Pelodiscus sinensis: one gene and its partners. The protein of the gene in region 4 interacts with the protein of the main gene of each other region in a biochemical or structural test. Links are inferred from orthologs where the notes say so. Each region holds a gene or a part of one and is shown on either strand. Other genes may lie near its edges.

Evidence for each region.
Region 1: the proteins of PEX5 (region 4) and alanine--glyoxylate aminotransferase are reported together in a solved structure, tested with the Homo sapiens proteins (2 studies listed by BioGRID and IntAct, with this or other methods). The link is inferred for Pelodiscus sinensis from reciprocal best matches to the Homo sapiens genes PEX5 and AGXT.
Region 2: the proteins of PEX5 (region 4) and PEX13 form a complex in vitro, tested with the Homo sapiens proteins (3 studies listed by BioGRID). The link is inferred for Pelodiscus sinensis from reciprocal best matches to the Homo sapiens genes PEX5 and PEX13.
Region 3: the proteins of PEX5 (region 4) and PEX7 form a complex in vitro, tested with the Homo sapiens proteins (3 studies listed by BioGRID). The link is inferred for Pelodiscus sinensis from reciprocal best matches to the Homo sapiens genes PEX5 and PEX7.

Annotation. Positions count from the first base shown.
Region 1 is NW_027465993.1:1,582,354-1,589,758, forward strand, and holds the start of alanine--glyoxylate aminotransferase, read left to right. Parts: upstream 1-4,391; 5' UTR 4,392-4,406; coding exon 4,407-4,571; intron 4,572-7,405. UniProt on the Homo sapiens protein: Peroxisomal aminotransferase that catalyzes the transamination of glyoxylate to glycine and contributes to the glyoxylate detoxification.
Region 2 is NC_134713.1:180,189,091-180,196,910, forward strand, and holds the start of PEX13 (peroxisome biogenesis factor 13), read left to right. Parts: upstream 1-4,810; 5' UTR 4,811-4,874; coding exon 4,875-4,948; intron 4,949-5,025; exon of another isoform or gene 5,026-5,050; intron 5,051-5,292; coding exon 5,293-5,990; intron 5,991-6,662; coding exon 6,663-6,788; intron 6,789-7,820. Other genes in the region: tRNA pseudouridine synthase Pus10, read right to left, coding at 3,153-3,222. UniProt on the Homo sapiens protein: Component of the PEX13-PEX14 docking complex, a translocon channel that specifically mediates the import of peroxisomal cargo proteins bound to PEX5 receptor.
Region 3 is NC_134713.1:97,640,014-97,647,594, forward strand, and holds the start of PEX7 (peroxisomal biogenesis factor 7), read left to right. Parts: upstream 1-4,579; 5' UTR 4,580-4,675; coding exon 4,676-4,787; intron 4,788-7,581. UniProt on the Homo sapiens protein: Receptor required for the peroxisomal import of proteins containing a C-terminal PTS2-type peroxisomal targeting signal. Specifically binds to cargo proteins containing a PTS2 peroxisomal targeting signal in the cytosol.
Region 4 is NC_134711.1:137,879,470-137,886,696, reverse strand, and holds the start of PEX5 (peroxisomal biogenesis factor 5), read left to right. Parts: upstream 1-4,213; 5' UTR 4,214-4,410; intron 4,411-4,724; 5' UTR 4,725-4,766; coding exon 4,767-4,916; intron 4,917-5,350; coding exon 5,351-5,386; intron 5,387-5,566; coding exon 5,567-5,699; intron 5,700-5,909; coding exon 5,910-6,044; intron 6,045-7,227.

The DNA of each region.
Region 1 (7,405 bases), on a different chromosome or scaffold from region 4:
TCTCCCCCATCTCCCTGGGCCAGCCATGCTGCCCCCGAACTCTCCCCCATCTCCCGGGCCAGCCATGCTGCCCTCGAACTCTCCCCCATCTCCCTGGCCAGCCATGCTGCCCTCGAACTCTCCCCCATCTCCCCGGGCCAGCCATGCTGCCCTCGAACTCTCCCCCATCTCCCAGGCCAGCCATGCTGCCCCCGAACTCTCCCCCAACTCCCTGGGCCAGCCATGCTGCCCCCGAACTCTCCCCCAACTCCCTGGCCAGCCATGCTGCCCCCGAACTCTCCCCCAACTCCCTGGCCAGCCATGCTGCCCCCGAACTCTCCCCCATCTCCCTGGCCAGCCATGCTGCCCTCGAACTCTCCCCCATCTCCCTGGCCAGCCATGCTGCCCTCGAACTCTCCCCCATCTCCCGGGCCAGCCATGCTGCCCCCGAACTCTCCCCCATCTCCCTGGCCAGCCATGCTGCCCTCGAACTCTCCCCCATCTCTCCGGGCCAGCCATGCTGCCCTCGAACTCTCCCCCATCTCCCTGGCCAGCCATGCTGCCCTCGAACTCTCCCCCATCTCCCTGGCCAGCCATGTTGACCCCCGAACTCTCCCCCATCTCCCTGGCCAGCCATGTTGACCCCCGAACTCTCCCCCATCTCCCTGGCCAGCCATGCTGCCCTCGAACTCTCCCCCATCTCCCGGGCCAGCCATGCTGCCCCCGAACTCTCCCCCATCTCCCGGGCCAGCCGCGCTGCCCTCGAACTCTCCCCCATCTCCCCGGGCCAGCCATGCTGCCCTCGAACTCTCCCCCATCTCCCCGGGCCAGCCATGCTGCCCCCGAACTCTCCCCCATCTCCCCGGGCCAGCCATGCTGGCCCCGAACTCTCCCCCATCTCCCTGGCCAGCCATGCTGCCCTCGAACTCTCCCCCATCTCCCCGGGCCAGCCATGCTGCCCTCGAACTCTCCCCCATCTCCCCGGGCCAGCCGCGCTGCCCCCGAACTCTCCCCCATCTCCCCGGGCCAGCCATGCTGCCCTCGAACTGTCCCCCATCTCCCAGGCCAGCCATGCTGCCCCCGAACTCTCCCCCATCTCCCTGGCCAGCCATGCTGCCCCCGAACTCTCCCCCATCTCCCGGGCCAGCCATGCTGCCCCCGAACTCTCCCCCATCTCCCTGGCCAGCCATGCTGCCCTCGAACTCTCCCCCATCTCCCCGGGCCAGCCATGCTGCCCCCGAACTCTCCCCCATCTCCCAGGCCAGCCGCGCTGCCCCCGAACTCTCCCCCATCTCCCTGGGCCAGCCATGCTGCCCCCGAACTCTCCCCCATCTCCCCGGGCCAGCCATGCTGCCCCCGAACTCTCCCCCATCTCCCCGGGCCAGCCATGCTGCCCCCGAACTCTCCCCCATCTCCCTGGCCAGCCATGCTGCCCTCGAACTCTCCCCCATCTCCCTGGCCAGCCATGCTGCCCTCGAACTCTCCCCCATCTCCCAGGCCAGCCGCGCTGCCCTAACCCCCTGCTCATCAGCCCCATCTCCTCCGGCCAGCAGTGCTGCCCTGACCCCCCGCCTGCCAGCCCCCCCATCTCCCACAGCCACCCTGCCCCTGCCCCCCCTCCCAGTCCCCCCTGCCCAAGTGTGTCCGTTATTTTTTCTAAACCTACCCAGTAACCTTACTCCCTTACCTGGGGGGAAACCTTTTAAAGCAGCCCCACAGCCCTTAATTGGCTGCAGGTGCCGGATTAGCCTGCTGCCTCAGGCAAGCTCGTAATTAGCCTCCGGAGCATGGCTGCCTTCATTACAGGGCCGCAGTCTCTGGCAGTTTATTCAGGAAACGGAAAACCATTCACCCAGCTCCTGGCATGCCTGCCCGCCACCAAACCATTGCAGCCAGCTGCCCTGGGTCGTCACACCTGCTAAGCCAGGGCCTGCCTCGCCACCCTGCACCCCATGGACTTCCCTGGCACCTTGGGCCTGGTCCTACAGCACTGGAGAGACGTTCGCCAGCCTTCCCAGGCATCGGAGCTGGGCCCGAGTGGGGCTGAGAGTGAGGCAGGGCAGGGAAGTGGGAGGGGGAGGAGAACATGAGAAGGAAGAGAGAGATTGTGAGAGTTCAGAGCGCCCACACGCCACCTGACTCCCCTTTGCCAAGCTGCGCTGCGGAGCCCAGGCCACAAGCACTGCAGCACCTGGGCCACGCTGCCCACGGCTAAGGGGCCGGAGGGATGTGTCGGGAAACTGTCACGTTACTGGATGTTAAGGGGAGCAGCCGGGCCATGGGGGGGGTGCCCCAAAAGTGGTACAAAGGGGCCATGTGAGGTGTCAAACAAAAGCTAAACTTCCCCTGAGTCTGTATCTGCTCTTCATGTGCTTGTACAACGTCTGTGTGGAGTTATGACCATGTAGGGAGGCTGGGAACGTCTGTCTGTGGCTGAGCTATGGGCCAGGAATGCTCAGCCAATGGCTATGCTAATGAGCGAGGCTCTGGGGACAATGGATCTCGAAATGCCGAAGACACACCTGGCTCTGGCCATGTGACCCTCTCCAGCTGGGAAGAGACCAGGGATGGATGTAAAATGCCATGTGGCAGACTCCATTTCTTGTCTTTGGTTTTGCTCCGAATCCCAGATGCAGCCTTGCAGGGAACAATGAGCCAGAAAGAACCATGGACCCATCCTGACATGGGATGTAACCAGAGACTTTTAAGCCAGCAGCTGTAACAATCTCTGCTAGAGCCTGCGTCGAGAACTGGAGAGTCGATGCATGTTGTGACGTAGTGGGGGTACCTGGCTGGTTTCTATGCTGCTGGCTCTGGGGTAACCCCCACTGGCTGTCGTGGGGACCACGACCCAGCAAAACAGGATGAGTCACTATGCAAACCAGTGGCCAGACACCCCCCATGGAGAGGAACAAAGGAAGGTGGAGGCTGCCCTGGCTGGGGGGCAGGGCGGGAAGAGAGTTAGTTAGTGGCTGGCTGTCGGGGAGCATGGAGGAGACAGCCTAGGGAAGGGGCTAGAGTTTAGGGGCCCGGTCTCCCCCCAACTCAAGGGGGCCTGAGGCATCCTAGCCCAGCTCTGTGACCAGATTCCATCTGTGCTGTGCTGTATCCTGGAGAGGCAATAAACTTCCTCTACTCCACCGGCTGGTGCAGTCTGTTTGTGCCATTTCGGGGTGCAGGAGACGGGGGACCTCAACGCGCCGTCACACATGTCATGTAGGATACTTTAACAACCTCACTCTCAGGCTTTTCTTTCTTTAGTAACAAACCTTTAGATTTCAGATTGTAAAGGGTTGGCCCAGTGTGATTTGAGGGCAAGATCCAGAGGGTAAATTGACCTGGGAGCTGTGGCTGGTTCTTTGGGACTGGAGAACCCGTTTGGGGTAGGTGGGGTTGGGTTCTATAACCCCGCACCTGTGTGCAGGCCTGGGGCTGTTTGGGGCACGGAGAGAGCTGGGGTGTCGGGGTTTTGCTCGTGAGGCTTCAGGCTGGCCAGATTGGCAGCTGAGGTGCTCGGTGGGACTGGTTTGTGGCCTGTTCGGAAGGTCTCCAGTCGGGGGGTGTGGGGAGCCCCAAGTTTGAGCAATTTGCCCTGAGCGGACGCCCTCAGCTGCGCCCAGACCTGGCCCGGCCCGTCACAGAAACATCCTGGACTTCCACTCCCCAGGGTCTGAGCAACCTGGAGCAATGACCTCGTGAGTAGGACTCGGGACTCGGGAGAGCTGGGCCTGCTCCGGCTCTGCCGCTGCCCTGCCAGCTGGCCTAAGGCGAGACCCCCCCACCTCTCTGTGCCTGTTTTGCCTCCCATCCTCCTTGCATCTCGGCCACTGAGGCTGGCAGCTCTTCGGGCGAGGTCCCGGAGTGCTCAGGGACTGCGGCTGCACCTCTCACGGCTACCAGAGCTCGGGCACCGTGATGAGAGCAAACCCCCCGGACGGCGAGTGAGGCCCCTCCCCACGCGCCCACATCGGGCGGAGCGGGGCAGCGGCCTGTTATCTCGCTGAGCTGTGGGGAAAGCCGCTCCGACCGGGCAGGTTAGACAAACACCCCCCCGGAGCAGCACCCTGCCCCCGCCCAGCCCCCGGTGCAGAGTTCACGGGCAGAGGGAACAGAGGAGGAGCCAGGGAGCTGCGGGGCCGTCGGGGGGCGGCTGCGTGGCGCTGGACCCGGGCGTTTATTACCAGGGCTGCACAGGGCAGTGTGGCAGGGCGAGGGCTGGGAGTGGCCGCGGCTAGCAGGGCAGACTCCGAGAGGAGCAGGCTGTGGGGCCCGTGGCAGCAGGCCCAGCGGCAGGGTGAAGGTCCACTCTGTGATCTCTGCCCCAGAAGATGCACCGGGTGGCGATGGGCAGGGCCTCCCGAGGGCTCCAGGCAGCGGCGCGGGCTCCTCTCTGGCTGCCTGCGCCCCCAGCGCCCCGCTACCGCGCCATGGCTTCCCAGCAGCTGCTGGTGGCCCCTCCCGAGGCGCTGCGCCAGCCGCTGGCCATCCCGGACAGGCTGCTCCTGGGGCCTGGGCCCTCCACCGTCCCGCCCCGGATCCTGGCTGCAGGAGGTCGCCAGCTCATTGGACACCTCCACAAGGAAATGTTCCAGGTGAGGGCTGCAACTGAACACGGCCGCTCACTCCGACCTTTCCTGCGCCCCCCGGGCACGCTCTGATCCGACCTTTCCTACGGTCCCCCGGGTACCCTCCGATCCGACCTTTCCTGCGCCCCCCCCCCGTGCACGCTCTGATCCGACCTTTCCTGCGCCCCCCCCGGGCACGCTCTGATCCGACCTTTCCTACGCCCCCCCCCCCAGTGCACCCTCCGATCCGACCTTTCCTGCGCCCCCCCCGGGCACGCTCTGATCCGACCTTTCTGCGCCCCCCCAGTGCACCCTCCCATCCGACCTTTCCTACGTCCCCCCCGTGCACCCTCCGATCCGACCTTTCCTGCGCCCCCCCAGTGCACCCTCCGATCCGACCTTTCCTACGTCCCCCCCGTGCACCCTCCGATCCGACCTTTCCTACGTCCCCCCGTGCACCCTCCGATCCGACCTTTCCTACGTCCCCCCCGTGCACCCTCCGATCCGACCTTTCCTACGTCCCCCCCGTGCACCCTCCGATCCGACCTTTCCTACGTCCCCCCCCGTGCACCCTCCGATCCGACCTTTCCTGCGCCCCCCCCAGTGCACCCTCCGATCCGACCTTTCCTGCGTCCCCCCGGGCACGCTCTGATCCGACCTTTCCTGCGTCCCCCCGGGCACGCTCTGATCCGACCTTTCCTGCCCCCCTCCGTGCACCCTCCCATCCGACCTTTCCTACGTCCCCCCCGTGCACCCTCCGATCCGACCTTCCCTACGTCCCCCCCGTGCACCCTCCGATCCGACCTTTCCTACGGTCCCCCAGTGCACCCTCCGATCCGACCTTTCCTGCCCCCCTCCGTGCACCCTCCCATCCGACCTTTCCTACGTCCCCCCCATGCACCCTCCGATCCGACCTTTCCTACGTCCCCCCCGTGCACCCTCCCATCCGACCTTTCCTACGTCCCCCCCCATGCACCCTCCGATCCGACCTTTCCTACGCCCCCCCGTGCACCCTCCGATCCGACCTTTCCTACGCCCCCCCCCGTGCACCCTCCGATCCGACCTTTCCTGCGCCCCCCCGGGCACCTTCCGATCCGACCTTCCCTGCGCCCCCCCGGGCACCCTCCAATTCGACCTTTCCTACGCCCCCCCAGTGCACCCTCCGATCCGACCTTTCCTACGCCCCTCCCGTGCACCCTCCGATACGACCTTTCCTGCGCCCCCCCGTGCACCCTGCCATCCGACCTTTCCTACGCCCCTCCCGTGCACCCTCCGATACGACCTTTCCTACGCCCCTCCCGTGCACCCTCCGATACGACCTTTCCTGCGCCCCCCCGTGCACCCTCCGATCCGACCTTTCCTACGGTCCCCCCGTGCACCCTCCGATCCGACCTTTCCTACGGTCCCCCAGTGCACCCTCCGATCCGACCTTTCCTGCCCCCCTCCGTGCACCCTCCCATCCGACCTTTCCTACGTCCCCCCCGTGCACCCTCCGATCCGACCTTCCCTACGTCCCCCCCGTGCACCCTCCGATCCGACCTTTCCTACGGTCCCCCAGTGCACCCTCCGATCCGACCTTTCCTGCGCCCCCCCCCAGTGCACCCTCCGATCCGACCTTTCCTACGTCCCCCCCGTGCACCCTCCCATCGACCTTTCCTACGCCCCCCCGTGCACCCTCCGATCCGACCTTTCCTACGCCCCCCCGTGCACCCTCCGATCCGACCTTTCCTACGGCCCCCCCAGTGCACCCTCCCATCCGACCTTTCCTACGTCCCCCCCATGCACCCTCCGATCCGACCTTTCCTGCGCCCCCCCAGTGCACCCTCCGATCCGACCTTTCCTACGTCCCCCCCGTGCACCCTCCGATCCGACCTTTCCTACGTCCCCCCCCGTGCACCCTCCGATCCGACCTTTCCTACGGCCCCCCCGTGCACCCTCCGATCCGACCTTTCCTACGGTCCCCCGTGCACCCTCCGATCCGACCTTTCCTACGTCCCCCCCGTGCACCCTCCGATCCGACCTTTCCTGCGCCCCCCCCAGTGCACCCTCCGATCCGACCTTTCCTGCGCCCCCCCCAGTGCACCCTCCGATCCGACCTTTCCTGCGTCCCCCCGGGCACGCTCCGATCCGACCTTTCCTGCCCCCCTCCGTGCACCCTCCCATCCGACCTTTCCTACGTCCCCCCCGTGCACCCTCCGATCCGACCTTCCCTACGTCCCCCCCGTGCACCCTCCGATCCGACCTTTCCTACGGTCCCCCAGTGCACCCTCCGATCCGACCTTTCCTGCGCCCCCCCCCAGTGCACCCTCCGATCCGACCTTTCCTACGTCCCCCCCGTGCACCCTCCCATCCGACCTTTCCTACGCCCCCCCGTGCACCCTCCCATCCGACCTTTCCTACGTCCCCCCCCGTGCACCCTCCGATCCGACCTTTCCTACGCCCCTCCCGTGCACCCTCCCATCCGACCTTTCCTACGTCCCCCCCCGTGCACCCTCCGATCCGACCTTTCCTACGTCCCCCCCCGTGCACCCTCCCATCCGACCTTTCCTACGTCCCCCCCGTGCACCCTCCGATCCGACCTTTCCTACGTCCCCCCCGTGCACCCTCCCATCCGACCTTTCCTACGTCCCCCCCCGTGCACCCTCCGATCCGACCTTTCCTGCGCCCCCCCGGGCACCCTCCGATCCGACCTTTCCTGCGCCCCCCCGCGCACCCTCCAATTCGACCTTTCCTACGCCCCCCCAGTGCACCCTCCGATCCGACCTTTCCTACGCCCCTCCCGTGCACCCTCCGATACGACCTTTCCTGCGCCCCCCCCGTGCACCCTCCCATCCGACCTTTCCTACGCCCCCCAGTGCACC
Region 2 (7,820 bases), on a different chromosome or scaffold from region 4:
AAATCCCAAGGATAGTTACTTAGGAAAAGAAATCCATCTAGTACTGACACAGCAACCACTCCAACAATGACACCTAGGCTGTGTCTACATAGGCACCCCTTTCTGGAAAAGGGATGCTAAGAGACCAGTCGGAATTGCAAATGCCGTGGGGGATATTTAAATCCCCCGCGGCATTTGCAATTCCGACTGGTCTCATTAGCATCCCTTTTCCGGAAAGGGGTGCCAATGTAGACACAGCCCTAGAGTCTGTTTCCCCAAAATCACTTTGGGGAAGAAAGCTAGAAGAGGCCCTATTGTGATTGTGCTTGGGATAAGCTACAGACCCTGGAATCCAATTTAGATATGAATAGAGGCATCTTTAATGAAACACTCCTGCAAATTGTGTGATTATGGGAGTCTTTGATTTCTCAAGCATAGATTGGAGGACAAGTGTTACTATTAATGGCAGGACCCAGATACTCCTGGATGTGAGAACTGATAGATTTCTTCACCAGTCACCAAAACAAGAAGAGATGCCATTTTAGATAAAATATAGGTAAGTAGTGAGGACTTCATGGAAGAACTCAGTGTAGAGGACAATCTTAGTTCAAACAATCATGAGCTAATTCAGTTTAAATTAAATTGAAGGATATACAAAACTAGATCTGCAACTAGGGTCCTTGACTGCAAAAGGACAAACTTTAAAAAATTAAGGGAATTAGGTAGAAAAGAAGACTGAACTGAAGAACTCGAGGATGTAAAGGTGGAGGAGGGTTGGAGTTAGTTTCTGCAACTTTTTACTTAAAGTACCTGAAGCCACCATCCCAAGCAAAGGATGGCTTGCAGACCACACTGGATGAGCTAACATGTCAAACAGATTATCAAGAGAAAGCAGAAAGCCTACAAGGAATGGAAGATCTATCCTAACTCTTGGAGGTCAGTGTATAGAAAAAACAAGAAAAGGAAATTAAAACCCAAAATAAAAGGTTCTATAGCTATACAAAGAAAAAGAAAACAAGGAAATAAGAAGTGGGACAGTTAAGCACTGAGGATGGGGTGGAGATTAGATAGTCTAGGCATAGCCCTACACTTAAACCAGCAAAACTGAGACTGCAGCTCACAAGGGACATCTCCCATTGTTCTTTTCAGCAAGATATTTACACACTGTGTGATTTAACTATTAACTAATCTAAGCTATTAAATAATCAAGATGCTTTTACTATGTTATTAACCAATTACTAACTTATTTGCTATGAGAAAACTTTCGATATCAACTATAGCAAATGAAAACAATGAAATACTATAGCAAATTAAACAATGAATTCACACTACTATGTCTCTTTTGAGTAATGTTGGTTGCTAATTTGGCTCTTGAATCACTAAGGCCTGAGTATTGCTGACTGAATAGAATACTTTTTGCCTCCGTTTTTAATAAAGAAAACAAGGAGCTTAAGGGTACTGTCAGTGTAATTGATGAAAATGAGGTAATGGAAGTAAAAATAATCACATCCAGGGTAGAAGTCTGAATAAACTTAAACATCTTAATGAGACCAAACCAGGGGCCCAGATAATCCCCATTCAGGACTATTACAGAAACTGGCATATGAAATTGCATACCCCATGACAAGGATTTTTAACGAATCCATAAACTCGGGGATCATATCCTATGATTGGAGAATTTCTAATATAGTTACTATTTTTAAGAAAAAAATACATCCAAAAACTATAAGCCCATTAAGGGTGAGGCTTACTAGTTAAGCATTTGTGTCACTAAATCAGAGGACTGTAAAACCTACCTTACAAGAGGAGACTCAAGGAGCCTCACTTACTTAGCCTAACAAGACAAAGGCTGAGGGGAGATATGATTGCTCTCTATAAATACATCAGAGGGATATATACAAGGGAAAAAGAGGAATTATTTAAGTTACTGGTCAGTGCTGGCACTGAGACAAATCAATACTAACTGACCAACAACAAATGTAGATTTGAAATCTATCAGAGGAGTAAAGTTCTCCCAAGATTACAGTGGGGATGAAAAACAACCGACTTTTAGACAGACTGGTAAATTTACACAGGAGTCCATGTGATGAGACTGCCTACACTGGCAGGTGACCCATCTGTGCCTTATTACCAAATATCCCCAATTGCTGGATAAAATTAATGGAGATTGCCTATCTTGTAGAACTGGAAGGGACCTTGAAAGGTGATTGAGTCCAGTCCCCTGCCTTCACAGTAGGATCAAGTACCATCCCTGACAAATATTTGCCCCAAATCCCTAAATGGCCTCTGCAAGGATTGAACTTACAACCCTAGGTTTAGCAGACCAATGCTCAAACTGCTGAGCTATCCCTCCCCCCAATATGGGATGCGGACAACTCTAATGACTTATCTATGCTACTGCTTAAGTCGATATAAGCTCAGTTGCTAAGCAGTGTGGAAAAAACCATCCCTGAGGAACATAACTTAAATGCATTTAAAGCAGTTCCTACAGGAGACAATCTCCCACATAACTTCTTCTTTTACAGTGGAGTAATTAGGTGGATCAGAGAGTGCTCTCTCATCAACATAATGCATCTTCACCAGATGCACTGCAGCGGCACTGATTTAGTATGGTAGCGAAGATAAGTCCTACATTACTACAGAGGATTCATGGGGTTGGGTCATGCATGGCTAATAGACCTCTGGTGCAAAACTGAGGAGACACAGGTGCCCCACTTCAAGGCCAAGGCTCTTCACAGCTGTTTGTCTCAGCTCTATACCTCTGCAGGGCAGGGATATAATACTGTAGTCAATTAACCAATAAGCAAAAGCTTATATGTTATCACCCTGGGTGTAGGAGCTCAGACCCACCCCAGACAGTGGCTTCTGCTACCCCGTACTGCTGCCTCTATCACAGGCAGCAGCACGGAGTGGCCAGGGGCTCCTCGGGAGTGAGGCTGGAGTACACTGGCTGCCAGCTCCTGCCCCAGAGACTACAGAATAGTCGACTAACCAATACGAATTCATAAAGTTACAGACGGTCCCCGAGTTGTGAACGGTCGACTTACGACCAAAACTGTTGCAAATGGCAAACCCCGAGTTACGAACGCAATCAGCGCTTACGAACAGCACGGTCACGTGTAACTCAATGTTAACATCGGGTGGGTGCAACAATGGGAGTAAGAAGCACACACCTCCTGCATGCACTGGGATAGTCAGCAAGAGAGTGTCTCGCATGCATGTTCCCACCAATGATTTACGCATTTCCTAGTTGCTCCAGAACTGACAGGCTTCAGCAGGGGCATATGACCCTTCTCTCATCTTCTCTTTGCTTCCCCATCAGAATCTATAATTCTGCAGGGAAATCAAATAGTCAGGCAGAGGGGGAGAGCTGCAAATGCACTGTGACACAAAATTCTCCCTAGACCTTTTGACTTTAAAGCCGATGAATGTATAATGGCACCCACCTTAACCATATGTGGAAATCTGAGTGCATATTGGATAGAATGCTATTAAGTTCATTCACACAAAGATCATATGTTCAAATATATTAAGGGGAATCCCTATCACAATTAAACATTAAAGTGCCTATGCAACTATATACAGGTTGAGCAATAGGATGATCACAAGCATCCCAGTGCATTTAAAAGAAGATAACCCTGCCCAGCCTGATACAAAACCAGCTAGAGCAACATGGGTGGACACTGATGGCCACGCCTTTAGGCAGGGTTACATTAAGAAAGGGGCTTTAGGAGCTGCAGCTTAGGGCCCCGGGCTAAGGGGGCCCCCCAAAAGATCTTCAGGATGCCAACTCACAGGGTTTTTTGCAAGACCCCCTCCACCTGGGGCTCTAGGTTGCAGCCACTAAAGCCCTTATGTTTTAGCCCTGAAAGACTGAGGGGGAAAGGCAGCTCTGTGCACTCCAGTTCCTCCTCCACTACCACCGGGATGGAGCTGCAAAGCACCAGAAGCTCCCCTCCCTGAAGCTCCTATTGTAGATAAATCATGGCAAATGGAAGCTATGGAGGACAGTGTCTGCAGGCCAGAGCAGGGCAACATACAACTGTCTCCTGCCCTCTCTCCTCCCCTCCCCAGAGTCTGGGCTACCAAAAATAAAGCACCCCACTCCCCCACCGCATTTCTCTGCCTCAGCCCCGAGCTCCTTCCCGCACAACCTCCCACCCAAACCCAGGACCCCGCACCTCCTGCCCTGAGTCTCTCGCACACCCAACCGCCGGGCTCACCCCAGAGCCCTCTCCCGCTTTCGGACACGCTCATTTTGCCCCGCCCCCAACCTGACAGCCCGAGGGCCGCAGAAGAGCTGATTCGGCCCCGCCAGGCCGCAAATCCCCGCGCAGCACCACGCGCCGCCACAGGGCTGAACACCTGCCTCGGGCGCTACACTCCCGCACGGACCCGCAAGCTGCTCTGTCCCCGGCGCGTCTCCTACCTGCTCCGCCCGGCGCAAGGAGCGGGAACCATTCACTGTCTGCACACTGGACGCAGCGTGCGCGCGCATTACCCTCCCCCCGGCAACAGGCGTCCCAGGAGGAACGTTCCGGAGCCGTCACTCTACCCGGGGTTTCGCGGAAGTGGCCGCCGCGTCTTTCGCATCACGTGCCCTTCCGCTGCCGCCAGTGACGAGCCTGCCGGCGACCCTCAGCAGGGAGGGCGGAAACGCTCTGGGAATCGGACAGAAGGCAGCAAAGCAAAGCTGGGGAGGCCTGAGCAGCGGCAGCCAGAGACATCGATCCGCACGCGCGGCCGGGCCCGTAGTCACCGCCCCTTCCGGCGGCTGTGCCGCTCGGCCCTCCCGCTGTCAGGCCTGGCAAGGCCGCGGTCAGGTGGGGAGGGAAGGGGCGGGACTGGCCTGGGTGGCTCGGCCGGGCGGGCGCCGCGGAGCTGCAGCGCAGGAGATGGCGTCTCAGCCGCCGCCCCCCAAGCCCTGGGAGAACCGGCGCCTCGCGGGCACCGCGGCCTCGGCCTTCCAGTGAGTGCGGCCCCGCCCCTCTCCCGCCTGCCAGGAGCGGCCTGGAGCCTGCAGAGCGGTCGTTAGTGAAACGTTACCGGGGGTACAGCCAACCCAAAATGGCAACTCCGGGGGTGGGGGGGGGAGAGACTCTCCCAGGATCTTCCCCCAGCCAGGTCCTGCCCCCCTTCCCACAGAGGGGGAGAGAGAGACTTCCTGTGGGAGGGACCCCGCCATGCCCCCCTCCCTCGACTCGGTCACGTGGACTTTGCCCCCTCCCCTACACACAGTGCATGCAGATCGTTGGGGCAATGTGAATATTAACATGACTATGGTCCTGATTTTGATCCTCTGGATTTACTTAGAGCTGCTGATTTGGGTGCCAGCTTGCTGACCAGGCCTGGACAACCCACACTCACACGAGTACCTCCGCCTGTTTTGCCAAGACCATCACAGCAGGCAGGGAACAGTAACCTGAGCACTTTCAGACCTGCGTACAGCAGTTCCTTTTCTCCAGGCTACAGCTCGTATGGAAACTCCTTTTATGGAAGCTACAGCCCTTATAGTTACGGATATGGCGGTTTGGGTTATAATCGGTTTCGTACAGATGATCTGCCGCCCAGCAGGTTTGTTCAGCAGGCCGAAGAGAGCAGCAGAGGTGCATTTCAGTCCATTGAAAGTATTGTGCATGCATTTGCCTCAGTCAGTATGATGATGGATGCTACCTTTTCAGCTGTCTATAACAGTTTCCGGGCTGTATTGGATGTAGCCAATCATTTCTCCCGACTCAAAATACACTTCACAAAGGTGTTTTCAGCTTTTGCATTAGTCAGAACTATAAGATACCTCTACAAACGACTGCAGCGGCTGCTGGGTCTGCGGAAGAGCTCTGAGAATGAGGATTTGTGGGCTGAAAGTGAAGGAACTGTGGTTCGCATTGGCTCTGAGGACCGGGCAGCTAACTCAGCAAAATCCTGGCCCATTTTCTTGTTCTTTGCTGTTATTCTTGGGGGCCCCTATCTCATCTGGAAGCTGCTCTCCACGTACAGTGATGAAGAAACAGGTAAAGGAGATCAACAAAGTGAAGGGTGTATAGTTTACGGAATATTCTTGCCATAATTATATTAGTAAATTATACTCTAAACATGCTGAATTAAATATGGTGATTGTGATTAAGGTATTAAAATAGCCTGTTCTTTGATCCCACGTTAATGGATCCATTCAGTTCTCTTTCAAAGAGGTCCTACTTCTAGAGAAGGGAAGATTTTACAGCTGAGTTCTGGGTCTGCTTCACATGCATACAGCTGCTGAATTAGGATTCTTATACAGACACTTATGTAGCAACAAGATTCAACTAGGTATTGCAGTATAGCCTTTTACTAATAACATTCATTATTGAGGAAAAAACTTGGGAGTTTGCTTGCTTGCTTGCTTTATTCAGTCTATCAGTGTGTTGATTTGAAATAGAAACTTCTGCAAACCAGGACACTTATATGCAGAGGCCTAAATATGGATTCTGAAGCCTTGCTTGAAGCACCTAAAAAGACTGGTAATTGCATAGTGCCCTATGTGCCTGTTACTATAATAAATGTTTGTACAACACTTTTATTATATAAAGTGTTTCATAAATGTTACAGAGTCCTGTATACTTAGTATAATTGTGGAAAAATTTAGTTTGAGTTTCACTTTAAAGATCCAGATGATTTTGCTGCTTTTTAACTTTTCTGTGAAACAGTGGCTAATAACTGGGCAAATGGAGAGGATGATCATGTAGTGGGAAGAGCAGAATATGACTTCTCTGCTGTTTCAGAAGAAGAAATTTCTTTTCATGCTGGTGATATGCTAAAATTAGCACCCAAAGGTAAGATTATGATTTATGGTAGACTTATTTTCTAATTACCTTTTTAGTGCTTAGATTCATAAAAACAGGCTCTTGAGATCAAAGGAGATGTATTTTAGTTGGCCTGTCTCAACAGACAGTGATTGTGTGGAAGCTCTAGAGAAGGGGTCCTTAGCCTTTTCCTTTCTCAGTTCTCCCTCGACATGTTATAAAAACTCCAGGGCCAAGGAGGCATTGGAAGGACTCCGGTCTCCAGGCTAGGGGAGGGTCCGTTGGGGCATAGGCATAGTTGAGCTTTTATTTTTGGCAGGGGGTAGGGTGTGGAGCAAGGGCTGGCGAGGCTTGGTCCAGCTGCACACAGCACAGTCCAGGAAGGGCATGCCATTTCCACTTCCTAACTCGCAATCTAGACGCGGTTATTTCGGGGGGGAAACCCTTTCTTGAAAGAACCCATACTTCTCATTTTTTCAGGAGTACGGGTTCTTTCGAAAGAGGGTTTTTTTTTTCCCTTCGAAATAACTGCGTCTAGACTGCAGTTTCAATTTTGAAATACAGGCAGTCCCCGAGTTACGTGGATCCGACTTATGTCGGATCCGCAGTTACGAACGGGGATTTTCTAGCCCCGGACGACGGGAGCGGCAGGACGCCCGGTCCCGCCGCCCGCATCCTCTGGGGCGAGAAAAGCTGCTCTGCGTCTCCCTGGTCTGCTGGGGGGGGGGGGAAGGGGAGACAGATGAGCGCCGCGGTCCCGCCCGGGTCCTCCGCAGCTTTGCTCAGCGTCTCCCTGGTCTGCAGCACCCCAGCACCAACCCAGCAGCACCCCAGCTGCTCTGCCCCAGGCGTCCCCAAGTCAGCCGCTGCTGAAACTGACCAGCGGCTGACTACAGGAAGCCCCGCCCCGGGCTTCCTGGAATCAGCCGCTGATCAGTTTCAGCAGCAGCTGACTTGGGGATGCCTGGGGTTCTTAAGTTGAATCTGTATGTAAGTCGGAAGTGGCGTCCAGATTCAGCCGCTGTTGAAACTGATCAGTTTCAGCAGCGGCTGAATCTGGAC
Region 3 (7,581 bases), on a different chromosome or scaffold from region 4:
CCCTCCATGCTGCCCCAGGTCACCATGCCCTCCTGCCCCAGGTCACCATCCAAACCCTCTGCACTTCCCTCCACCAGACCACAACTCCCTCCCAGACCCTACATCCCCTCAAACATCCCTCCCCAGGTCAGAATCCTCTCCTGCACCCTTACCACCTCCTAGGCTCTGCACCCCAATCTCTTGTCCCAAGTCACAACCCCCTACTCCACTCAAACTCCCTTCCAGACCCCTCTCCTGTAACCCAGTCCCCTACCCCAACCTCCCTTCTGCACCCAACCTCTGTCCCAGACTCTGCATCCCTGCTATAGAAAAATGTGGCCCTTGACCACTTACCAAAATCTTTTGAATGGCTCCCTATCAAAAATCATTGCCCACCCCAGATCTAGAGGTTGATCATGCTTCTGAGATGTACAAACAGATCTTTTTATTTCACAGGAAAATGGGGCACAGTGAAATCATCTGGACTTGTGGAAACCATTTTGTATGATCTGGGGTTTAAGACTATGGTCAGGATGAAGACAGGCAGAGAAATGGACAGGCTAGGGGCATCTAAACAGTGGCCTGGTCCAAAACCTATTGAAGTCTATGAGTCTTTTCATAGACTTCACTTAGCGTTAGGTCGGGTCTACTGTTTTCCCTCCATACCTCAACAAATTAAGAACAAATGATAATATAGTTCCACACTTCATTATCTTTTCCACAGAGACTTTTGATCAGCGGCTACTGTGACCATAGGTACACACTGCTAGCCACACAGCCAGGAAACCAGGGTCATTGGGAGTCAATATGGAGGCATTGGGGCTCTGCAATAGCTGGCTTTGGCTTCCTACATATCCCTGAGACCTCTTGAGCTTTTGTGGGTGCCTGGGTGGAACTCATGGGCTGATGCGGTTGGTCTCAGCAAGGGCCTTCAGAATCTCTTCTCACTGGTTTTTCTGAGGGAAGAGAATCATTTGGGCCTTTGTTATAATGAATGAAGTTCTTTTTCAGGATTTTCATGTACTGCTCTATCTACCTCTTGATCTCATCCCTATTAAATATTCACTTTGTAAGATTTTCCTTGAAATGTTGGCCATTCTACAGGGGTGGTATTTTGGGGATTGCCCTGACCCACTGAGGTTTCTGTCACTGTCTGCCTCTAACCTAGGCTGCCTTAAAGCTGAGCTGCTATAGCTCAAAGTCCTGCCATTGCTAGCCTGTCCACAAGCAAAATAATCTCACTCTGGCTTCCAGCAGTCTTGTTACACTTTGCAGGGTAACTATTTGTTATGTTAGTCATGCAATAACTGCGCGCGTGTGCGGGTGGGTGAGTGTAGACTTAGCCATTGCTGTTTTTTCTATTATTTCTTTTCCTCCATATTGAGAAACGACTACAGCACAAATTATGGCCATAGTTTTATATATTCAGAAATACATAAATTCATAACCGGAGTCATTATTTCTCATAATGACCATCAACTTAAGAACATTACAAGTTTTCGTGAAAGGCCTTACTTAGTATACTTTTATATGATGGTAACTCTGTATATAATCAGTTGATTCAAATGATTATTCTTTGGGGTTCAATCCCTGTTCTCCCTCTGAGGTGCTGGCTGGGATCCTGATTCTCACATCAGGTAGAGGGGGCATGTCTAGTCTAGAAAATATACACCTTTTATGATTGCCTTCTGTTTGTGTAACCTTTTTGCAGAACTTTATTATTCATATTTACCTTTCTAGATAGTATGCAAAATCAGTTGATGAACTTTCTCCAACTTTTTGATGTGCCAGTGGCAAATTGTCCATGGTATAATATGGGAATTGCTATAGTATAATAAATAAATGTTGATTTAGCCTTTTGTATGGTATCGCTCTGCTTTGAAGCTCAATGTCACAAGTAGCATATGCTTTTTAATTTTAGCAAGGATTTTGCAGTCATTGACGGTTCTACCTGACAAAACATCGACCAATTTCTTATTTGATTTACATATTACACATCCCCACCAAAGTACTGGCATTCCCCACGCTCCTTCTTGCAGCTCAGGGCAGCACTGCAGGTGAGCCCCACCTTAAAAGTCCCTAACTGGAATAGGTTTAACAGCCTGGAGCAAGAAAAGTAAACACACACTAGAAAAGTACCAAGTCCCTTTTTAATAGTTTCAGGGCAGAAGCAATTACAATACAGGCAGTCCCCAGGTTACGTACAAGATAGGGACTGTAGGTTTGTTCTTAAGTTGAATCTGTATGTAAGTCGGAACTGGCGTCCAGATTCAGCCGCTGCTGAAACTGACCGCCAGTTCTGACTTACATACAGATTCAACTTAAGAACCCCAAGTCAGCTGCTGCTGAAACTGATCAGCCACTGATTCCAGGAAGCCCGGGGCAGAGCAACTGTGCCTCGGGCTTCCTGTAGTCAGCGCTGGTCAGTTTCAGCAACGGCTGACTTGGGGACGCCTGGGGCAGAGCAGCTGGGGTGCTGCAGGGTTGGTCCAGTAGTGCCCAGAGCGGCGCTGCGGGACCAACGGGCAGCACCCCAGCTGCTCTGCCCGAGGGTCCACAACAAAAGCCTGGTCTGCTGGGGGGGGGCACACTACCTGCGCCCCCCCCCCCCCCAGCAGACCAGGGACACGGGGAGCAAAGCCGCAGCGGCGGGGTGCCTCGCCTCTGAGGTTTTGCTCTGGCACGGGACCCGCTGCGGCTTTGCTCCCGGTGCCCCTGGTCTGCTGGAGACGGTCCCCAGCAGACCAGGGGCACCGGGAGCAAATCCGCAGCAGCGGCGGGGTCCCGCGCTTCTGAGGCTTTGCCAGAGCAAAGCCTCAGAAGCGCGGGACCCCGCCGAGGCTGCGGCTTTGCTCGTGGTGCCCCTGGTCTGCTGGAGACGGTCCCCAGCAGACCAGGGGCACCGGGAGCAGCTTTTCTTGCCCCGGTGGTCGAGGTGGCTGACCGCTGCCTTCGAGCTCCGGGGCGAGAAAGCCGCGTTCGTAAGTGCAGATCCGACATAAGTTGGATCCGCGTAAGTCAGGGACTGCCTGTATACAGTTCATAAGATCCTCACCTCAGAAGCCTCATTCAGACTTCTCACACTTTAGAGTTCACAGAACGGAGTCTTTGAGGATATAGTTGCACCACAACTGAGAGAGGTGTGATTCCCAGAATGGGTAGACAAGTTCACACTAGTTTCAGTCAAGATAGTGCATTACGTATATAGCAACATGAATGTTGTGGCACTAGCAGCAGCTTGAAATAAAGCCATTGCTGTTGCAAGTAAGAGGGGATATAAAGACTGATTCTGAAAACATTTAGCCTATGTCTACACTGCAAGCTTTTTGTGCAAGAACACTTGTTCTTGTGCAAAAACTTGCTGAGAATCTACACTGCACGCGCATTCTTGCACAAGTAAATTTACAGTAAAGCATCGAAAACAGGGCTTCTTGTGCACGTTATTCCTCTCCCCGTGAGGAATAAGCCCTCTTGCGCAAGGGCTCTTCCACAAGAAGGCAGTGTAGACAAGCAACAGGGGTTTCTTGTGCAAGAAAGCCCTATGGCTAAAATGGCCATCAAAGCTTTCTTGTGCAAGACAGTGTCCACACTGCCATGGATGCTCTTGCGCAAAAGCACATCTCTTCCACAAAAGCACATGGCAATGTGGACGCACTCTTGTGGAAGACCTTTCGCACAAGAACTCTTACGCAAAATGGTTCTTGCACAAGAAGCCTGCAGTGTAGATGTAGCCTTATTGCTGCCCTGCACACTCTCAGGAATGTCTATCAGGCGCAGAACCTGTATACAGCAAGACAGATCCTTGATGGTGCCTGCCCGCACAGCTCTAGGGAAGTAAATGAAGCAAGGCTCATTTGACACCAGCTGATAGAAGACTGAGGATGAGAAGAGTCATAAGTTCCAAGGCAGCTAGTCTGACCCCCTGCATAGCGCACAACATCCCCTAGGGAGGCTGAAGGGACGAGGAGTCCTGTGGCACCTTATAGACTAACTGAAGTGTTGGAGCATAAGCTTTCGTGGGCAAAGACCCACTTCGTCACATGCATCTGACGAAGTGGGTCTTTGCCCACGAAAGCTTAATGCTCCAACACTTCAGTTAGTCTATAAGGTGCCACAGGACTCCTCGTCGCTTTTGCAGATTCAGACTAACACGCTACCCCTCTGATACTAGGTAGGCTGAGGAGCTCACGGGAGTCAGTGGGCTCAAGTTCAGCCCGGCCTTGTCTCAGCAGAGAAGGCGGCGGAGGGCGGAGCGCCCTGCCAGCTGTGCGCATCCCGCCCCTCAGAGCTGCTGCGAAGGCGGGTGAGGAGGGAGCTGGCGGGCAGCGGGCAGGAGGATGCTGGTGCACGGGCACCCCATCAGGCCCCACGTTTCACCGCAGTTTCCGGGGCTGGTCGGGGGACGCCAGGCTCGAGCTCCCGCTGTAATCGTGCGTCCCACCCCGAGGCCCTGTCCAGAGCGGGCCGGGGGCGGGGCCCAACCCGGCCTGTTGCCCCTGACAACAGCCAGTGGGCGGGCCCCGGAAGAGAAGCTGCGCGGCCGCGTCTCGCGCAGGCCCCACAGGGCGGCGGCACCGCTTCCTCAGCCCCGCCCCCTTGCCGGGCGCTTCCGGAGCCGATCCCACGTGCGCGCGCGCGCGCGGCGGGGACTGGGCCGGGGTCAGGGGGCCTCGCTTCTCGCACCGGCCCTGCGGCCATGAGCGCCTGGGCCTTCCGGTTGCCGGGGCGACACGGCTACGCGGCGGAGTTCTCGCCCTACCTGCCCGGCCGCCTGGCCTGCGCCGCCGCGCAGCACTACGGGATCGCCGGTGAGGGAGGGGCCGCGTTTCCCCCCCCCCCGGCCCCCCCATCCTGGGACGGGGCTGCTGGGGGCGCCCACCCCCCGGAAGCCGCAGGAGGAGCCCTCGTGCCCTCCCTTGGGCCGCCGCGGGGCCCTGCCCGGTGCCCGAGCCGGGTCTGGGGAGCCCGGGAAGTGCCCCGGTCCGAGGCCTCCGCGTGTCTCTTCCGCCTTCCCCGCGCATCAGCCTGTGCGGCTCGCGGGGTCTGCCTGTGTCGCTGGGCAGCGGCGTTTGGTCCGCCCCCTGCTGGGAGCCCGCTGGCAGCTGTCAGGCCTCGGGCGGCTTCTTTCCCCCTCGGGTGCCGCTTCCAGAGACAGCGGTTCTGGACGTGGGGTGCGGCTACTGACTTGGTCCTCTAGGAAAAACCTACCAGGCGTCCCTGTGGCAACTTAGAGACTTAAGAGATTTATTAGGGCAGAAGCTTTCTTGCTTTTTGAACGCTTGTGCCCTAATCAACCTGTTCGCCTCTCAAGTGTCACAGGGCTCCTCATTGTTTTTGCACATACTAACAGGGTTACTACCCCTCTGAGACTTTGGTCCTCTAGATCAGTAAAATACCGTGTTTTGTGGGGTTTTTTCTCTTGCCCCTGTGTGGACAGAAGTGTGTGTGCGCGGGGTGGGGAGATTGCTCATGCTAACTAGCATGTGAAATATGCACGGGGATCTTTTGACCTGTCAGTTACTGAGCTGAAGAGTTAGGGCACATTCTCACTCTGCTGTTCTATCAGAGTTTTCAGTTTCTCTGTGTTTAGAGACAAAGTCCCATGGTCACATAGACTACAAATATTTTCTAAATATATATAAAATGGAGGCTACTACTACTGATGTGGCAGTTTTCTAATTTTAGATAAAGGGTACTGTCAACTTTAAGCTTCTGTATTGCAAACAAATTTGTATTCTGCTAAGAAGAAGTTTAGGTTATTGAAAGTGAATAAGTATTTAAAACCCAATTTATTACTTGCAGTTTTTGAGAGAATGTTAAGAAAAATTATATGTTCACATAGTCCCAGTCATGCTAATATTTGCAATGAGAGTACACCTGTTAAAATCAGTTGGGCTACTTGTATAAATCCTGGCACTCACATGCAGAAGTGTCTGTTTGCATTACGTTTGAGGCTTTTCAAACTTTATTTAGTGGTTAAATTACATTCTGAACTGTTCATCTACCTTAAGAATTGTATTGTTACTGTTTGCAGGCAGAAGGTCCTACAAATGATAATTTGCAATGTCTAATAAAAATGGGTACTTTATAAATAGTGCTTATGTTCCTGTACAGCAGATGCAGAAAAAAACTCTGTTAAAAATAACAAAAATAAAACATTGCTCTTTTTCATTAACCTAGCCATAGCCTTTCATTAGCTACAGAAGGAATGTAGCTACAGTAAGCCAGCATAGAATTCCAATCCTTCAGACACTTAAGGATACTAGGGATGCAAAATGCTGGTTAATCATTAACTGGTTAAACCTAAGGTTTAAGTGGCCTCCCATCCCATCCCTTCTACCTGCCCCTTCTGCTCCCAGCAACTCCTGTGCAAGAAGCTCCCAGCTTCTGCTGCCACCCACTCCTTGCCCCTGCAACCCATACCCCCAGCTGCTCCCGGGTACCAGTTAACCAGAAACCATTTGATGTTTTGCCGTTTCACTAAAATGGAAGTAATAGAACCAGGAGTGTTTTGCTTTCAGAAAAAAAAGACTATTGGCTGAGACTACTGAGATGTAGCTGCTTCATAGCAGTGAAAGGATGTCTATTTTATAGTACTTTAGTCTCCCATTGGCTGTAAGAGTTTGGTCTGATTTCAGTTGCTGTATTTAGCATATGGAGGTCAATCGGTCAAACTGGTGATCTAGTCTTAAACACAGTTGGTAATTAGGTAGCAGGTTACTTTATAGCAGTTAAATATTGTACTGATTCTTTCATTCTAAACTTTCTGGTATTGTTTCATTTCTGGGAGGGAGATAATGTGTTTAAGAGGAAAAAAACCCAGATCTTTTCTATTTAACCAACCATAACAATATGGATGATGGGTGGGTGGAGATGGGTGACCCATTAATACTTCCAAAAATATGTACAAAACTCATAAAAATACATATTGAAAGTATGTTGCCAAATACTGTTTAGCAAATCAGGGGAACTGCTTTTGGAAAGAAAATCCAGTAGTAAAGGCACTCATTTCAGCCTTGTATATGATTTTTTTTAGTTGATTTGATGTCAAAAAAAGTGACAGAAGCCTTGCATATTCACATGGTTACAGTTAATGCGTTTGTATGTGCAAATAGGGCATTATGTTGCTAACTAGACATTTAGATATTTAAGTACTTATTTGTATGTACAGATTTGTCCTGAATTATGGAATTTTCCTGACTTGTCCTGAATTATGGAATTTTCTGGACCTCGGGAGATCCCCTGCCACTGGCTCCCTGCCTGCTGCCTCTCAGTGCTCCTGGCTCCTCTATTACTCCAGTTGGTCCCTCTGCCTCTGGATCCCCCTACTGCTGGTCCCAGACAGACTATCAGCCCTGCTGTCTTTGACTCCCATGTTGACCAGGTTGTCAGCCCTGCTGCTGGGCCATGGGCTCTAGTTTCACCCCTGCACTGCTGTGGACTGCTGGGTGCTTTGGCCCTGTGCTGCAATGGACTGCTGGGGGCTCTGGCCCCACATTGCTGGCCCTCCTGCCACAAGTCTCCCCAAGTTCTCTGGTGCAAGAACATCCTGGATATTGCTGGACCAGAGAGTGTCAGTTTTGGTAGGTGCAACTTGCATTT
Region 4 (7,227 bases):
GGAGCTGTTTAAATTGACTGTCTACATATACACAACTATGTAGATTACATGCAAATAAACTTTGCCAAAAGAACATTATTTAGGTCATAATATCAAGCATTGAAAAGTTAGGATGATCAGAATTAAGGTTCTCTGTGCAACATTAAGATACCATTTTTAAAGTCTTGTGTTTTTACCACAAAACTACTGTCTCTTTCAGTGGAGCGGTGCATAGTGAATGAAGTGTTGCCAATTCATGATTACATCACAGGTTTCATGATATTTGGTGTATTTTCTTAAAGCTCAGCTCTGGGAGTCATTCATTACATGAGAATCTCAGCTTTCATTTTAAAAATTAAGTTTCTAACCCTCATAGTTGTGAAGACAATCTTGACAGCAATTATTTCAGTAACCGGGTTTGGTTCTTTAAAGAATTTGAAACCACAGACAGAGGAATACTTCTTTTTAAGGTCAAACAAAGATTTTTTATTTTTTCTATTTACTTTATAATTAATTTTCAATGTAAATCAATTCACTATTTTTTATTCTTTTAAGACAATATAATATACAAAGAAAAAGCAGAAAAACAGTACAGTTTAAAAAAAACAAGAAATAATAACTTCTCGTACAGATATACCCTCCTGATTTACCTTTAAACAATTTATGGAGTTAACAAATATATAATACTTACATTAAGAAAGATAGAAGCATTGCTTAGATTCAGGAGGTATTCTTTTCTTTATGTTTTTCCTTTTTTTGGATTTTTTGTTGCAACTTACGACCGGTGTTGTTCCCCTTTCGGAGCTTATGTGCAGCAGCGAGATTCAGCGCCGGGGAGGGAGCTCTGGTTGATCAGACCTAGCTTTTTGGATTCGCAACCCGTCCACTCTTGGTCTGTTCCATCCAACCTTATATACCCTGTTTCGGTATTTTGGTACTCCTCCACTCGCCTGACAATTGCTGATGTTAGATTTTTGTTGTCTCATTCTGCCCTTACAAAAACTTTCGTCTGCTCCATTTGGGGTAATCAGCACTTTGTTGCATACTGCCGTCTGAGTTACTTACTTCCCTAAAAGCGGGGTTATTGTTGGTCATCCAATCAAATTTTGTTTTTATTTTACATCTCCTGTATCTCACGATGCTGCCTTTCCTTTACACTTACATTTAAACTGGTGCTCATTTGACATATTCTGGGTAGGCCTCAATACCTTCCTTTCACAAATTCCAAGAAAGGCTCAAAAAAACAGAAAGCAAACAACCCCCACACCTTGCATTTATTATTTTTAAAATGTCATGACTTTTGAACACGTGGGGTTAGCAATAATGGGAAAGAGGCAACTGTTCAATATTTCTTATTTTCCTTCATCTTTTACGATGTGTCCCTTTCTCTTATTTAATGCACACCACCCCTGTCATGCATTATTTATTCTTATTTATTTCCTTATGTATTTTTGTGCTCATCTGTATAGTAGCTGAGCCTCACAAATACTAATAAAAAGCTCTCCACATTTATACTATGAAATAAGAAAGCACCATTATTCCCAATTTAAAGATGGGGAAGCTGAGATTGAGACTTGCCTGAGCCTGAGGTCACAAAGCGTATCAATGGCAAAACAAGAATTAGAACTCAGACATTTCTTAATTACCCAGTCTGTGCACATGTCTCCAAACCACACAGTATTACTGCCAGTGCCAGATGTTCCATATGCCCACAACTCCCATTGATCTTGTGAGCACTCAGCACTACTATGAATCAGGCTCCAAGCTGGCCTATCTAAATTTGGGCATTCAGAAAATAAGGAATGCACTGTTAGTGGCCACCTGATAATATTCTGGTTTAAGTAACTTGCCCAACATCATATAGGAAGCTTGAGGCAGAAGCAGGGGTGGGACTGAGCTCTCCTCTACAGTATTAACTTGCCTAAGCCACAAGACCATCTTGTCTCTTTTTGCAGCCCGTCCTTCCTCATAATCTTTAAATGTAGGGTTATCATATTTGAATGTTCAAAAAAGAGGACACCCCTAAGAGGGAATGTATCTGTATCAGTATCTACCAATGTGTTACATTAATATAATATAATATAATATAATATAATATAATATAATATAATATAATATAATATAATATAATATAATATAATATAATATAATATAATATAATACAGATATATTCCCTCTCGGGGTGTCCTCTTTTTGAAAGTTCAAATATGGAAACCCTATTTAAATGTCTTCTAACTTCGGGGAAAAAATGGCAGGGATCTTACGAACAGCTTCATTCACTGCACAATTGTGATTCCTTCCTTCAGCACTGGACCTTCTGTGTGCAGTGATTAAGAATATCACATAGTGTTTTCTGAGGGTTTTGTTCTCAAATGGTGCTTAGCTCTTTAGAGTTCTTTGGTCTTGCCCCCTCAATTTACCTGTCACTTTCAGAACTCCATGTACTGATTGATCTCCCGATCTGATCCTCTGACCCAGCGTTTCCCAATTTTATTTGGCCACGGAGCCCTTTTCAGCTTAAAAGAATTTCAAGGAACCCCTAGGGTTACCAGAGTAAAATGTGTTAAGAAATAAATAAATAAATAAATAAAGATCCACCAGAACTGGTCGAGCAAAAAATAAATAAATAAATAAAAAAAGCTGCAAAATAGACTGTGTCTTTAAGAGAGGACAGGGGAGTGCCACATTCTCACGGAACCCTTTCTTTTGCTTTGTGGAACCCTGGGGTTCCGCGGAGCACCAATTGGGAAACACTGCTCTGACCAATAGACAGCTTCTTCTGTTATTGTAACATGTGTAATACTGTCTTACTTATTAGAGCATTTATCAGGAAACTGCAAGTAAAACACCAGCACACACAAGCTGCACTTAATTTCTTCTTAGACTCCAGACCAGATTGGATACAGGCCATCCTCACTATAAGTCCAAGATACGTTCCAAAAAAACCTTGGACTTATAGCAAAACTTAAAACGGGGAATTTTTTTCTCCCGCGGCTGACTTTCATTTATGCAAAAAATTTTTTTTTGCATGACTTAAGAGCAGGGAATGGAAGGACTTATAATGTATCAGTTCCTATAAGCGTCAACAACTTTAGTGTGGAACGGATGTATACCAGGGTGACTTATAGCGGGAACGCCTTGTACAACAACATCATATGAAAGCAAGTCAAGAATTTAAATAAAGGATACCTTCTGATGGAGGGGCTGTCGACACTGACCATTACACATGGGCTGTGTCTAGACTGGCCAGTTTTTCCAGAAAATCAGCCGCTTTTCCGGAAAAACTTGCCAGCTGTCTATACTGGCTGCTTGAATTTCTGCAAAAGCACTGACTTCCTACTGTAAAAAATCAGTGCTTCTTGCGGAAATACTATGCTGTTCCCGTTCGGGCAAAAGTCCTTTTGCGCAAAAGGGCCAGTGTAGACAGCTGAGATTTGTTTTGCACAAAAAAGCCCCGATCGCGAAAATGGCGATCGGGTTTTGTGGAAAAGCGCGTCTAGATTGGCACAGACGCTTTTCCGCAAAAAGTGCTTTTGCGGAAAAGCGTCTGTGCCAAACTTTTCCGTTAAAAGCATTTCCGGAAAATCATGCCAGTCTAGACGTAGCCATGGTATCTGGTCCTGTAAGAGCATGCAGGGGTGGCCTCTCAAGACACCTAGACCTAGCACTTCACTAACTTATTGATAATGCTCTGATTTGGCAATTGGCCCTGGCCTGTCTTAAGTCTTATTTTCACTAGGAAAGGCAGGCTGGCTTCCCTCACCCCGCTTACCCTGATCAGCCAGTGTGCTAGAATTACAACTGCCTTGGCTACACACACACACACACACACACACACACACACACACACACACACACACACACACACACACACACACACACACACACACACACACACACACACACACACACACACACACACACACACACACACACACACACACACACACACACACACACACACACACACACACACACACACACACACACACACGCTTCCAATCCCCCTTTCTGCCTAGTGGAGACGTGTCCTGAACAGGCGTGGAGCCCCTGGAGTCCCTGTCGGGCGCCTCGCCCTTTCAGAGCGTGCTGCTCAGCTCTGCGGCAGGCTAAGCCCTGGCGGGCCCCGGGATGCTCTCTTGGCGGCCTGCTCCTTTAAGAGCCGCCGGAGCGGCGCAGGCGGGTGGGGCACGTCTCGGGCTGCGTGGCCCTTTAAGAGCCCAGTTGTGGCCTTTGAAACCTCGCTCCTGGGGGGACACTGGGCTACACGCGAGCCCGGCTGGGCTGTTCCCTGGCTCCTCAGGCCGGCGATGCCTCCCCTGCGCCGGGCCGCGGCGAGGAGCGCGGTGCCTGTCTCTTTAAGCGCGCGCCCCGCCCCCTGCTGCTCGGTGCGCGGTGCGGGCTGCGCTGCAGGGGCCGCCGGGGCGCCAGGTAGCGAGGGGGGCGGGCGGGTTGCAGGTGCCCGAGCGCGGGGGGAGAGGAAGAGCCGGGGGGGGGGGCGCGAGGCCCCCCCTCTGTCCTGGCCCGTGGCAGCCCCAGCGCTTCCCTCCGGCCGCTCCGCTCGCGCCAGGCTGCGGGCGCTGCCGGGGAAGGGCCTTGGCCATGCCGCCCCTGCCCTCCGCTCGGCCGCCGGGGCTGCGCCCGCTCGGGTGGCCCCCGCAGCTTGCTCACGGGGCAGGTGGGTGCTGAGCGAGCACCGCCCCAGAGCCCTGCGGTCACGTGAGCTTTGTGTTTGTCTCCCCCAGACGGGGTGAGGGTCCTGCGGGTGCAGCGCCCCTACCCCCACCATGGCCATGAGGGAGCTGGTGGAGCCAGAGTGTGGGGGCTCCAACCCCCTGATGAAGCTGGCTGGCCACTTCACCCAGGACAAGGCCCTGCGGCAGGAGGGTCTGCAGGGTTCCTCGGCCTGGCCGCCTGCAGGTCTTGGGGCAGAGACAGTGAGTACCAGGGCATGGGGTGGAGGGTCCTTCTGCCAGCTCCTGTGAGGCGGGGTCCTGGATCAGTGAGGGTCAGGGATGCACTGGGGGGGAGGAGGAGTGAGGGTCTGAGTACAGGGGAGGCTATCAGAGCAGGTGGGAGTGGGGAGGCAGGGAGTCTGGTTGCCCTATCCCTGTTGTGGAGGCTGCTTGTGGAATCACTAGTTAAAGTAGTAGTGGTGGTGGTGGTGAGGGGATGTATGTCCAGTCACAGCAGAGGTCTGCCCAGAAAGGGGAGATATGGTGGCTGCCTCACCCATAGAGTGGGTCTGCCTAGGTGGGATTTTGGTCCTGCTATGTGTGGGGGGTGTCATATCATTCCCATCATAATGGGTGACTGATGCTGTAGGCAAGGTCCCACCGCTGGGGTGATTGTTTGCCTACTTTTCCCACAGGTCTCCAAACCTTTGGGAGTGGCCTCTGAAGATGAGGTAAGAATAACTGTATTGCTCTCCATATCACCTTTCTTACTGCCACATTTTCTTGATTCCTCTTCACTCTTTCCATCTCTCATTCTCTGGTTTTTGTCCTCCCTTCTCTTTCTCCTGTTTTCTGTCCCAGAGTCTCTGCTGGGTATTCCCCCTCACCCACTCTTTCTCTCTCCCTGACAGCTGGCTGCAGAATTCCTACAAGAACAGAATGCCCCCCTACTCTCCCGTGCCCCACACACCTTTAAAATGGATGATCTGCTGGCTGAGATGCAGGAGATTGAGCAGTCAAGCTTCCGCCAAGCCCCGCAACGAGGTGAGGTGGTGGAGATAGAGTTTGGGGCTTCTGCAACCCCTACCTACACCTCCCCGTGAGGTGGTATGTCTGGAGGGGGACTGAATTTAAAAAGCCTGCTTAGCTAGAGCAAGGGGTGTCTGTAGATTAAGAGACAAGAATTTAATCCTTGTGGGGGTGTGGCACTTGGGGCTTGTCACTGAACTCTCCCCCATCTCTTGCTGTCCCTAGCTCCAGGTGTGGCAGCCCTGGCTCTGTCTGAGAACTGGGCCCAGGAATTTCTGGCGACAGGAGATACCACAGCTGATGTCTCTGCAGATTACAATGAAGCTGATTGGTCACAAGAGTTCATTGCAGAGGTGACAGGTGAAGGCTCCTCTTGTGTAGATTGGGTGGTGTGTTGCCTGGTAGTATGTCCTACTCTGTTCTCCCATGTAGGAGTTGTCTGTTATGTGAGAGAGACACTCCAGACAGTGCTCAGGGCACTTTGCACAAGCAGCACGTGCCTCAGTGGGTCACACTGGTACAGTATGCGGGGTGAAATTACTCTGATCTAGAGTCCGTGTTTAAGGCCCGAGGGGACTACCAGATCAGTTAGTCTGAGGTCCTGCACATCACAAGCCACCAGCATCCACGCTAGGGATGTAATAGTGTAGTCGCTTAACTGATAAGCAAAAGCTAATAGGTTAATGCTATAGACCAGTGGTGTGCAACCTTTTTTGATCTGTCACCCCTGTACTGCGGAGGCCACCAACTGCTGGGCCCACCCCCTGGCCGGCCAGATCTAAGCACCACGACCCCCCTGGAAAGACATCTGCGACCCACAGGTTGTGCACCACTGCTATAGACTACATGCATTTCTGCCCCCCCCCCCCCCCTTGCCAGCACATTTTTTAGCAGGTTGGACAGCATCCCAGTTCAGTCCTGGCTTGCACTGGGTCCTGGACCTACTCCTGCTGTGCCTCTGCATTTAAAGTGTATTAGGAGCAGGCAGCCTGTCTCAGTTCTGGCTCGTGCTGAGTCCAGGAGCTCAGACCCCTCCCCCACTGGACAGGGGCTGCCCAGGGACTCTAGAGTAGCTGACTAACTGATAAGAATTCATGAGGTTAATCGACTAATCAAGTAACTGATATTTAACATCCGTAACAATGCCCTTTGACTGAAATAAGAGTGTCCTGAGAGATTTGCACCAGCTTGTTGCACCAGGTGGGGAAGAGTTGCCCAAGGCTATACAGCATATAGGTGGTGTGATATGGACTGTAGTCTGCTCCAGATCCCTCCACTTCAACCAACTGAATCCCTACATTAAACTGTTGGGCAGCAGTTAAATAGCTGCTATGCCCCACCCCCGAGGGGGCTGCTTTTCACTGATCCGTGCAACCATCCATATTTATTTCTTTCATATACCTGTTGGAGACAGGCATCTAATTAACATTTATGATGATCTTTGACAGGCTCTGATGAAGAGCTAGAAATTTGCATCAGGAAAATGAATTCTTCATTGCAAACAGCAACCCAGTTTGCTGTTGTCCAAGATTTCCTTTAAAAA